Linked DNA regions of Arabidopsis thaliana. The protein of the gene in region 1 interacts with the protein of each later gene in a pairwise test. Each region holds a gene or a part of one and is shown on either strand. Other genes may lie near its edges.

Region 1 (4,728 bases):
GTCCCGGTTTTGGAAGCTTCATCCTCAAACTTTGTTCAAATTCATCACAATATCTGTCAGGTATGGAATCAAAACTACATCATATGTCTGTGAGCATTTCGGTTTTTGGATCATTCTGATTTGAGTTATTCGGTCTTTTTTTGCTTATTCGGTTCTTGATTTCTTTCCAACTGATAGGTACATGTTCAGACTCATAAATAGAAGGGTGCGCAGAATCAACACTGGTTCTAGTTTCAGACCAGTTCTTAAACTATACAAAGAAGAAGTGATATGGCTTGGCTTAGACGCTTATATTCAAGTTCTGAAGAAGAAAAACTCGAGATATCGAATGCTCTTGATCTATTTAAAATCTGCACTTTCTAAACACTCTCTTTCTCAGCAGCTATCGTCGGAATTGAGGTATGCAACAGACCGGTCAAACTCTTCTTCGCTGTGGAAGTTGAATTATTGAAACTGATCTTAACTAGATTTTATCATCGAAACTTAGGTAGATCCTTTAAATTTCTATTTCAGTCATTTTGATAATCTAGGAACAAAATGGATTTGTAACATTTAGGGTAAAGAAAGATTTAAATGTCAACTTATTAAATATGTATATTGGAAAAAACCCAAACTATAGTCTAATAGTGGTAGGGAAAATCCAGGCATAGCTTATATGGTACATCCCAAAGACCAAACCAGATTTCCAACTTCCATGTCAAAGAAACCAACAAGGAGAAACAAAGGAAACTGTTTAACTTGATGATATTAGTTCTTCGAGTATTCGGACGAATGAATCGGAGAATACCCTTCTGGCAGTTGCTGCTGCGACTGTGCTGGTTGCGATGGTTGCTCAGCTTCAACCTTCTCTTTTGTTTTCTGTCCAACCTCTCCAGCTGCTTGAGCCACTCTATTGAATGCTCCTGCGGCCCAGCTCACACCAGTTAACACGTAACGGTTCTTCATCACAGCGCTTCCTGCACTGCTCACAGTCTGCTCCGCAGCTGCATACACAGACTTGGTCCTCTCTGTTACCTGAAAGTTTTGGTCCACCGCCTTGATTTTTTCGTTCACCAAGCTTGTTCCAGCTGTAAGTTTCTGGCTAAGACCGATTTTTTGGTCTAGTGAAGCAACTCCTGCGGTGGCGGTTGAGGTGAAACCATGTTTCTCATCAAAAGCTTTTGCTTTGCCGACAGCATCTTTCCCAAGAATGAAACCCTTTGCTAACATGCTGCTCACAACATCTTCTGCCTTCTGGACAACAGATTCTGCACCGCTGCTCTGTGTTTCCTGAGAAAATTAACACAAATTAACACCTCTACGAAATTACTGCTCTATTGAGTGTTGAGATGAATACTTTTCACTAATCAAAAAGAAGAAAAACAGTATGAAGAAGACATTACAGCATGAGGGGCTGCTGGTGGACTGTAGTTGGGAGCCAACTCAATGATGACTGATTGATCGGCAATACTCGCTCCCTGAAATAACACCCCTTGTTAGTAATGCAAATTGCAAATGGTCCCAAATATTAGTTGTAAGCAAACTAATTTTACTTATAAATACTCAGAGATACTTTGTCTGGACTAGAGAAGTATAACCATATTAAACGAAGGTTTATAGACATGGATTGATTACTAAATTAACAGTGTTATGTAAGAGTTGAATGCTACTACAATAATATTGAGATAAGAGTGAACCCACAGATAAGAGCACAGCAGTCTCTGCTCCTTGAGTTTCTTTAAATGTGACATAAGCACTATGCTCGTTACTGCTAGTTAGAAAAAGAAAACAAAAACAAAGCTCAGAGTCAGTAAGTTTAAGAGAACTGTATCTAAATTTGCTGAGAAAAAGCTTCGGAAGTTAATTGATCAAAAAAAGCTTTAAATGTCAAAATTTTGAAATCAAAGAACAAGGAAACAATATCACTAACCTTTGGATATCGATGCTTTCAACTTCACCAGAGAAAGAGAAAAACTCTTTAATATCATGCTCAGTTGCTCCTGAAGAGAGATTGCCAACTTTTACTGACCTTACCTGTGACTGTCATCATAAAGAATCAAAAGGGAAAGAATCATTAACGAAAACAATAAACAGGTGTTTCATGAGAATGTTTACAGTACAACTACTTTTTGTATCCAAGCATATCTAATCGACCGAAAGTCCCATTTTAATCAAATCAGCTCAAACTCAAAGAAGCCTAGATTTATCACAAGATTATACAATTATGCAAGTAAAGGGATAATATTATAGTGGCTTAGAAGATGACTGTCATCATCTCACTATACAAAAAGAAAACTCGAATGAACCATGAAGGCTACCAATTAAGGAAACTAATCGACAATGTATGGAGGAATCTAAAAGTAAATTGGCTAGCGAGATTCGGTTCCAAATTGAGAATAACACAATCGCGATTTACTACGATAAACGAAAACCAAAACCGAGAAATCAAGGAGATAATAGAGATAATTGCACGAATACAGATCACACAGAGATACAGAATCAATTAATAACGACAATAATAATCATCAAACTCGTCCAAATAGCATTGGAGATATTATGTCGGCAAGTGCAGCAATCAAACAACAGATCATCCAAATTGAAGAAGAAATCAAATCAATAGCCAAAAATATCAATCCTGAGAAAATTTCCCGATAAACAAATGGATCGCAACAATATCTACCAGCAGAGGAAACCTAAACCTTTTCCGCATAAAACAAAATTATACACAAAAAAAAAGTAGAGCATACCGCCATGGATGTTGATCTTCGAAGTCGCGCAGAGAGAGAGATATGTAATTTGTTGCTTTTGTCACGCAGATTCAGAGATTGGCCTGAAAACCGAAACGTACTTCGAGATCGATGATGCGTAGATAGATAGAGAGGGAAGAGTGTATTTTGCTTTATATGACACCTCACACTCAACGTGTGGGTTTGCGTTACGCCCTTTAATCCTATTTTAGTCCCTAATTGTTTCCAACAATTAATATTTTCACTTTTTTAGTATATATTTCTATTTTTTCCCTCTTCAGTTCAAAACAAAAGTTAGGAGTTTCGTAACACAATTATTAAGTTTATGTTTTATTAGAAAAAAATACATAAAAATTTTACTTTTTATCAACAAAAATATATCATTGTTTTTCTATAAAAAGTGGTTTATGTATCAAAGTGATTACTGTAATTATTAATTCAGTCATAAAATATGATAACTTGGTAATTACAAAAAAGTTGGACTTCTCCTTGTTTTTGGCCCAACTCTTCTCTTTTCCTTTTACTAAACTCCAATGTAGCCCAAAATCATTTAACCAATCCTTATCCTGCAAACCCACTCAATTGGTCCGGTTTACTCGAACCGAGTTTCAATTTTACACGGAAGGGCAGGTGAGGTCAACAACGACACGCAGGATTCTTCCCTCGCAATGGCGTGTCACCGCCAAATAATTTATACGTATTAATAAATTCCCTCCACCACCATATTCACGCGGACCACATGAGATTAAATGATTTATACAAATTATAAAACAAAAATTAACATTAAATTTTGGGAAAACTTATAATTCACCTAACTCATTTCCATCATCTTCGTCTTCGTTTGTTCCCCTGAGATAGAGATAAGAGAATTTCGAGAGATTCGAGAGAAGAGACGATGAGTTTCCAAGATCTCGAAGCTGGTACTCGATCTCCGGCGCCGAATCGTTTTACCGGTGGGAGACAACAGAGACCTTCGTCTCGTGGGGATCCATCTCAGGAGGTCGCCGCCGGGATTTTCAGGATCAGCACGGCTGTCAATTCCTTCTTCCGCCTCGTTAATTCGATCGGAACACCTAAAGATACTCTTGAATTACGAGATAAGCTGTCAGTAGCAATTCTTAATCACACTCTTCTTCTCTTTGTTAAATCTCTGTTGATTAGGGTTTTGGTTTTACTTATTGATTTTGGTCGATTTCATTTCAATTTTTAATTGAAAAAGTTTTCTAATTGTTTTGAAGCTAATCCTGCATTATTTTCCCTTAACCGAAGAACAAATTTGAGTTTGCTGATCGATGTGAGACAACATTGCAAATAATGCCTGACAACATTGCAAATAATGAGCTTTTTGTGTGTGTGTGTGTGTGTGTGTGTATTGAGAAATTGTTTTTTTTTTAGATTGGTTTCATCTATTTGTTCTGTGAATTGTTTTAAAGTGTTAGGTTCTTTTGTTGGCAGGCAAAAGACAAGGTTACAGATATCCGAATTGGTGAAGAATACTTCAGCTAAACTTAAGGAAGCTAGCGAAGCCGACCTTCATGGATCAGCTAGTGTAAGCAAATGCTTACTTTTTTGTTTCATTCCCTTACGATGCTATGGAATGTTAGTGTCTAAGAGAACATTTTCTATTGAACCAGTTTTATTTTGGTTTAATTTTGTCAGAATCGTACCATTTTATTCATTTAGTGGGAGAATTGTTTACATGATTGATGATATGTGTATTCTAGTTTTGATGTTATGTTTGTATTCTTGCAGCAAATTAAGAAGATAGCTGATGCTAAACTGGCAAAAGATTTCCAATCAGTTCTCAAAGAGTTTCAGAAAGCTCAGAGACTTGCAGCTGAAAGAGAAATAACATATACTCCTGTGGTCACAAAAGAAATACCTACCAGGTAACCACTTTGACCAGTTATGTTTCAATACCTGTTAAAAAACAGAAGATCATGGTAAATGAATCTCGTTGTTTCCTAAATGAGAAGAAAAAAAGTCTCCGGATTATATACTC
Region 2 (4,352 bases), on another chromosome or scaffold:
ATATATAAGGATTTTTGCTTCAAATCTTTACATTGGAAATTTGAATAAGGCCTGCATATATATCAAGGATTTTTGCTTCAAATTGCTCATTTGTGTGACCCAAATGAAAAAAGAACTTAAATCAAGACCAAACTTTTTTTCCTACTTTGAAGGTGAACCAACCTGAATAAACTTTACAACAAAAATTGATTATTTTTTTGTTACGGAATGCAAAAAGGGAATATTCATTACAACCCATTTTGAATTTATAATGTTTGACTTATTAATTTGATTATTTATTATGTATTTCAGATTAAATCATTTTAAATATTTCAGATTAATAAATCATTCCAAGAAATTATTCCTGAGTTTTGCGAATATAAAATACTCCCTCCGTCCCACTAAGATGAATTTTTTAGAAATTGCACATTTTTTAAGAAATATTGTATAAACATAATTTTAACCTCTTAATATATTTTAAAAATAATAATAAATATTTATCTAATTATTTAGTAAGGGTAAAACGGGAAAACAATTTTAAAATTTGCATTGCAAATATAAAATTTCTATCTTTGTAAGACAAATATTTTTCCTAAAAAATTTATCTTTTATGGACAGAGGGAGTAATAAAAATTATAACAAATTAGAATTGTTCAAACTTCAGACAGAGCTCAAAACTCAGAAAACAAAAGAGAGAGAGAAAGTCTCAAACCAAACTCACACCAATAAAAATTGATTACGCATAATTAAAAAAACAAGATAATATACAAAAATAGAAAAGATACACAAATTTCGAGATGAAACGATTTAAGTCGACGGGTATGACGTCAGCCCAGAAGTCTCAGTCGTCGCCGCTTCTTCATCCAAGAAAAGATCCTCCGTCTTCCTAACCACCGAATGGATCAAAACCAACACAGCTCCGGTCACAAGCGCTCCAACAATATTAAACGTCGCGTTGGTCAACAGGAGTAAAACGACGGTTAACACCGATAAAACAATCAAGACCGTCCGATCATCGATCTGAAACCGGAACAGCTTGATAGGCTCATCACGGAGAAAATACAGAAAGATCCAAACAACGACCAAGACGGTGAAGACGATGAGCGATGTCGGATGCCAGATCAAGCTGAAGAAGATAACGATCAAGACAACGATTGCGTAGTTCATACGGAAGTAAGCAAGATTGGTCTTGATTCTTGTGAACGCATCGGAGACACCGTGAGGCAGTCCCATGGAGTGGAAATCGAACATCACTCTCCAAGCACGGCGCGTGGCTAGCCCGGCTTTGATACGGTGTTTAGCGCGTGAGAGAGACTCGACATCCACCAACGGAGATGCATGAGACGACGTCGGAATCGCACCGTAGTTCGTCATTAGTAATATCGGGTTATGGTTTAGCGCGTGTGAGATTGAATAGAGAAAGTAAATGAAAAGACTGTTTGTTATGTGTATATATGAATTCTGAAAGGTCCCAAGAATTAGGTGATACACATTTGCATATGGCGTTTTCTAAACTAATCTATGTTTATGAAATAAAACAAAATTTAATTAGATCGTGTTTTAAAAAGATTACAATATAGTGTAACGTGAGGATTTGATTCACTACTTGGTCAATGTCTGAAAAGTATAAGTTTTAGATACTCGAGATTTGGGTAACAGCAATTTATAAGTAGATGAATTACTACATGTTGAAGGACTATATAGTTAATTTGAAAGACTAATGATAAAGTAAGAGACACGGTGTCACCGAGCGAGAGTGGCATTATTGAATAGTCGATACAGGCTACACGTGACCCCATTTTAGAGGAGTCTCTCTGGCATATAACTACTCTTTCGCCACGTGTAATGTCGGCAGGAACAATGAGTAAATTATTTATAGTCTCCCTCGGACTTTATCATGATTTTTAGTCAGCCCAATTACAAAAGATATTGGCCCAATACAACGAAGGTTTCATGTCACATGCTCTCTCTCCATTGGACGATCCACATCGATAGGCTTCTTTAGCGAGCCAGACTCATGGCTGCTTTAGAATTGATCCCGCTCTGTGAAACAAGAAAATAGTTAGCTTGTGTCAAAGCACAATACATATAAGATCAAAACTATACCAAAATGTATGATGGATTACAAAAATCTTAAGTTTTTCTCCATAAGAACCAGAGAAACCTATTCAACAAGATTGCTTAAATCAAAGGTATATTATATAATGTAGCTTTCGTTACAAGTAAGCAGAGAAGCAAATACATATATGTAAATCAAGTAGTACCAGATCCACATCACCTATTTTCAAAATAATTCTACATTTTTGTATATCTCAAGGTCTTCCAACAGTCTCTAGTGTCTGCCGCAGCAAACAAAGGTTCTCTCACGACTGTTCAGGGAGACTAATTAATCCCAATAGATGGGGGATATGTTTCACTGTTACCATTACCAATCTTATATGATCACCACCCACTAGAACTAAATGGTGATATACTCATTATATACTCTTATTGTTCCAATGGTTAGTGATCATACAAGATTCGTGATTGTAAAACGTATCCGCCATCTCTTGGATTAGTATCTCTGAAATTGTCTACTTACATGAAAAAAAAAGTTAGTGTTCTCCATGGCCATGCAAACTTCACCAAAAAAAAGCTATAACAACGGAATTTCGGGCTGGACTTATCATCAGCCAAACGAGAAATAACTAACAATAAATGAAAATCAAGGTCTTGAAAAACTCAAAATAGGGAATAAAAACAAGAAAAGGCTCAACGGCGGCGATAACATAAGAAATACCTATTTGCCTAAACAGTTGCCCGTCTTTGCCAATATATAGGCTTTTCTATTATGCAACTTTTGGGCCTTTAACAGGCTTAACGGATGGATCTCTTAAAAGTGAAGCCCTCTTATCCAAATCAATTCTAAAGGCTATTGTGTTAACATAAACAACTCGTAGTTACAATAGTGAGAAAAATGTAATATAGTACAATTAGTGGTTAGATCTGGTTGTTAGTGATGTTCAGTTGAAACAACACAACTTTCTTGTCTTGTCACGTTGTTTAAATCAATTTCAGTGGGTTGTTATGTTAATTACATCATATCATATAAGTGGAGGAGAAATAATATGACTTTGCTTAATCATTCATTATTACATCTAAAACTATTAGAGACTATTCAGAAAAGAGAAAACCATCACCCAGTTAAAAATTAAAAAAATAACTAGTAACTGTAAAATTGCTTAGGAAGCGTTGGCGTAAGCTAATGCTTCTCTGGATCCGTTAATGTCTTCAAAAATTTCCTAAATCTATTGTAGCTTTGTTTTTACTTTTTTTGCCAAAGTTGCTTTTGTACTGGTTTTCTTTGTAACGCCACAACTTCATTATTAATGATATTAACATATTTAGCAAAAAAACTGTAAAATTGCTTGAAATAGATGTAGACTATCATAATATCTTTATTAGACCATTCTTTTGGAAATATATAAATGATTGAACCAGAATTATAACTTTTCTGTAATGATTTTCTTAGTTAATAATTTAATATACGAAGAGGAATAGTCGTCCTTAACATTTAAAAAAAAAAAAGAGAGAGAGGAAATAGTCATGAAAATTAGGATTCTATATCATATGCATAATTATCATACACCTTTGTACTTCAAAAAAAAAATATATATATATATATATATATACGGTCAACAAAAAGGTTTTGTGATTCTGTCCTTATTTGCCTTGTGAAGGAATACGACAAAATAGTTGGCATGTGTGCTATCGTCTTCCACACGTGTGAATCATTTTTTGTCTCCAAACTCCATCATGTTCTCTTTTTTTCTTACCTTTTGCTGTCTCACTATCTTTTTCACTTCCCACTTACAAAACACTCGTGTGACTTCTTTAACCTTTTAGAGTTTGATAATGCAAAACTGATTCTCCATTTTTCACTTAAGAAAAATGATTTATATTCTTTTGATCCAAATGGGTAATTTGTTCTTCATATGCACCGTTGGGAAGTTTATGATTGTGTCTTCTTCTGCTATCCATCTGCATATCATAATCACCAACATATTTTCAAATAAGTCTCTGTATATCGTTTAAGAGTTAAGTCCAACTTGTCAAAAAGAGATTAGACATTTAGATTTATTTGGTCCGAACGTACCATTTTGTCTAAAGTGTAGAGCACTAATTACCACACCCTCTTGTTTGTTTTGAAATTTAAAGATTACAACAAATATTAAATAATTTTGTATCCATGTAACTGATAGTTACCTGAAGCGAGTGACAAGATGGTGAAGAAAAACTGAAGTTTCAAGACGAGCCAAATCGAGACCAGGGCACAATCTCTGACCACCTCCAAAAGGACTGAAACTACTCGTGTTCATGTCCCTTTCCTATTT
Region 3 (3,351 bases), on another chromosome or scaffold:
AGTTTCTTCTTTTTAAGGTTTCTTAGCTCATTTTCAGTCTCTTCTTGTAAATGAAATCTAAAAGTTTCTTTCTTGAAGCTCATTTTGTTATTTTATTTTCTTTGTGAGCAGGCAAGATCTTTATTAGAAGAGTATGCGGTTGAGGAATTAGTTGATCCGAGGCTCGAAAAGCGATATTCAGAAACACAAGTCATTTGCATGATTCATACAGCTTCATTGTGTATACGTAGAGATCCACATTTGCGTCCTCGCATGTCTCAGGTAAAGAAAAGATTCACCATTCTTGAAACATGTTCATTTCTTTAAGTCAATAAAACTCTCTCAAGTGTGTCTGCTCTTTTGCTTGTTGTTGAAGGTGTTGCGTTTATTGGAAGGAGATATGTTAATGAATGAAATCTCAGGGAGGTTTAATGGAAGACTATCCACTGAGAAAGGTCTCAGAGATCATAACTAAAAGCTCAACTAGCCAATCTGATCACTTTCTTTTGGTATAGTGCGTAGGATCAATAGAAGAATTTTGTAAAATCAAAGTCCTCTTAATTGACAATTATGGTTTTTTAGTAGCTTTATCCAAAGTGATTAGTGTTTGTAGTGCTAATCATGTAATAACGTAATTAACCAACAAAACATACTCAAAAATTGTACTGTTGTCAACAAATTGAACAAAGTAGAAGAACATGTCAAGTTTTCTCAAATCGCACCAAACTCAGTAACATACAAAAAAAAAAAACAAATTTTTGGATTTACGACGAAGGGTATGACATCAGCCCTGAAGCTTCAGTAACCGCCGCAGCTTCTTCATCAAGAAACAAATTATCACTTCTTCTAACCGCCGCATGAATCAGAACCAACACGGCGGCGGTTAACAAAGATCCCAGAATATTCGAAGTAGCGTGAGTCAACAAAAGCATCACAACCGTCAAAACCGATAAACCAATAAGAACCGTCCGATCATCAATCTGATAACCAAAAACAACAAGAGGCTCGTCACGGAGGAAATAGAGAAAGATCCAGAAGACGACCAAGATTGATAACACGATCAACGAGGTTGGGTGATATAGAAGGCTTAGGAAGAGGATGAAGAGAACTCCGATGGCGTAATTAGCTCTGAAATAGCCGAGATTCGTTTTGATCCTCGAGATCGCGTCGAAGAAACCGTGAGGGAGAGTCATTGATTCGAAATCGAACATTGATTTCCATGGGCGGCGCGTAGCTAGACCGGATTTTATACGGTGTTTGGCGCGTGAGATGTATTCGAGATCTATCGCCGGTGATGGATGAGACGACGTCGGAATCGCCCCGTAGTTCGTCATTTTTGGAGAAGAGAGACACGAAGCTTTTTTTTTTGTTGGTTGTAATAATTTATAAATTGCTCAGTGTCCCTATGGATTAGGTGATGGTGCTAATGTAAATGTCACATATGGATAAAAGTTGTTACATGCCCAATAAATACATAAATGCTTTATATTGTAATAATTTTTTATTTGTTTTGCAACTGTACATTTATGGTAACAATATTGGTATTATATGTGTTTAACAGTCAGCATCATAGAGACATATTCTTAGGAAAATGTACAGCATATTATATTCTCTGTCATTTTCAAAACATAAATCTGATTAATTACTTGTAAACAGCATAATTTTATTCATTAGAAGGATTAATTTTTTTTTCCGGCAGAATAAAAATTTCATATTATTAGTTCACCAAAGAAACTGCGACCGAGTGGTTTCTTTGGCAGCGCTTTGTTGCTGCACGTGGCTTATCCCCACAAATATTTACAAACTCCACCAGATATTTTCATGCTTTCACATTTTAGTCCCAACCTTTTGTTTGAATACCATCTAACACTTTGCTTTTTAAAATTCCTATTTTTAAAAACCGAAGTCGAATGCTTGATTTGTATTCAAAGACACTTCACCTTCGATTTTGTCATCTATATGGTTGAATGTTTTCTTTAAGATTGTCCATGGAGAATCCTACAAGTTTCACCAAAAACATTAACAAATACATATACATATATGGATGGACATAACCTTGTGCATTCTGTAATTGACCAGCTTCAAACACATACTTGACAATTCACAGAAAATTATCTCTCATTCTCTTAAAGATACATTTTGAATAAAGAGAAGATGGAGCTTGAAGAACAGAAGAAGTACTTTCATGGAACACTAGAGATTACAATCTTCGATGCAACACCTTTTTCTCCTCCATTTCCTTTCAATGTAAGTCTATATCATATACTGAATTAGTGACTCTGATGATGTTATCATTGTGTTCATTTTCATGAGCTTTTGTTATCTTTGTTCACAGTGTATATGTACAAAGCCAAAAGCAGCTTACGTGACCATCAAGATAAACAAGAAGAAAGTTGCTAAAACAAGCTCAGAATACGACCGTATTTGGAATCAGACTTTTCAGATCCTCTGCGCTCACCCGGTTACTGACACGACTATCACCATCACGCTCAAGACTCGATGTTCTGTTCTCGGAAGATTCCGAATCTCTGCAGAACAGATCCTGACATCTAATTCAGCAGTTATCAACGGGTTCTTCCCTCTGATTGCAGACAATGGGTCAACGAAACGTAACTTGAAGCTTAAGTGTTTGATGTGGTTCAGACCGGCTTATCTTGAACCGGGATGGTGCAGAGCGCTTGAAGAAGCGTCTTTTCAAGGTATTAGGAACGCAAGCTTCCCTCAAAGATCGAACTGCAGAGTCGTACTGTATCAAGATGCACACCACAAGGCCACATTTGATCCAAGGGTTGATGATGTTCCTTTTAATGCAAGGAATCTATGGGAAGATGTTTACAAAGCGATCGAAAGTGCTAGGCACTTGGTTTACATTGCAGGATGGGCACTAAACCCTAATCTTGTTCTTGTACGCGACAACGAAACTGAGATTCCACATGCGGTTGGAGTAACGGTTGGCGAGCTTCTGAAACGGAAATCAGAGGAAGGTGTAGCGGTGAGAGTAATGTTGTGGAACGACGAGACGTCTTTACCAATGATCAAGAACAAAGGTGTAATGAGAACAAACGTCGAAAGAGCTCTTGCTTACTTCAGAAACACAAACGTTGTTTGTAGATTGTGTCCAAGATTGCACAAAAAGCTCCCTACAGCGTTTGCACACCACCAAAAGACAATAACACTGGATACACGGGTGACAAATTCAAGCACGAAGGAGCGAGAGATCATGAGCTTCCTTGGCGGGTTTGACCTTTGCGATGGTCGATATGACACTGAGGAGCATTCACTGTTTCGTACACTCGGAACAGAAGCTGATTTTTACCAGACAAGTGTAGCTGGAGCTAAGCTAAGTAGAGGCGGACCAAGAGAGCCATGGCA

What was found. The genes of interacting proteins can lie anywhere in the genome.
Region 2: the proteins of BPA1 (region 1) and PRA8 interact in a two-hybrid assay, tested with the Arabidopsis thaliana proteins (2 studies listed by BioGRID).
Region 3: the proteins of BPA1 (region 1) and PRA7 interact in a two-hybrid assay, tested with the Arabidopsis thaliana proteins (one study listed by BioGRID).

The regions. Positions count from the first base shown.
Region 1 is NC_003076.8:5,534,046-5,538,773, reverse strand, and holds BPA1 (binding partner of acd11 1), read right to left. Parts: upstream 2,906-4,728; 5' UTR 2,733-2,905; coding exon 2,727-2,732; exon of another isoform or gene 2,020-2,726; coding exon 1,910-2,019; intron 1,751-1,909; coding exon 1,681-1,750; intron 1,458-1,680; coding exon 1,383-1,457; intron 1,270-1,382; coding exon 748-1,269; 3' UTR 524-747; downstream 1-523. Other genes in the region: TERT (telomerase reverse transcriptase), read left to right, coding at 1-60, 178-451; SYP21 (syntaxin of plants 21), read left to right, coding at 3,622-3,830, 4,182-4,275, 4,479-4,615.
Region 2 is NC_003074.8:4,494,416-4,498,767, forward strand, and holds PRA8 (PRA1 (Prenylated rab acceptor) family protein), read right to left. Parts: upstream 2,386-4,352; 5' UTR 1,354-2,385; coding exon 787-1,353; 3' UTR 564-786; downstream 1-563. Other genes in the region: CYP90D1 (cytochrome P450, family 90, subfamily D, polypeptide 1), read right to left, coding at 3,915-3,999, 4,225-4,346. UniProt on the Arabidopsis thaliana protein: May be involved in both secretory and endocytic intracellular trafficking in the endosomal/prevacuolar compartments.
Region 3 is NC_003070.9:20,586,412-20,589,762, reverse strand, and holds PRA7 (PRA1 (Prenylated rab acceptor) family protein), read right to left. Parts: upstream 1,367-3,351; 5' UTR 1,314-1,366; coding exon 744-1,313; 3' UTR 564-743; downstream 1-563. Other genes in the region: AT1G55200 (kinase with adenine nucleotide alpha hydrolases-like domain-containing protein), read left to right, coding at 112-261, 356-454; PLDEPSILON (phospholipase D alpha 4), read left to right, coding at 2,134-2,226, 2,315-3,351.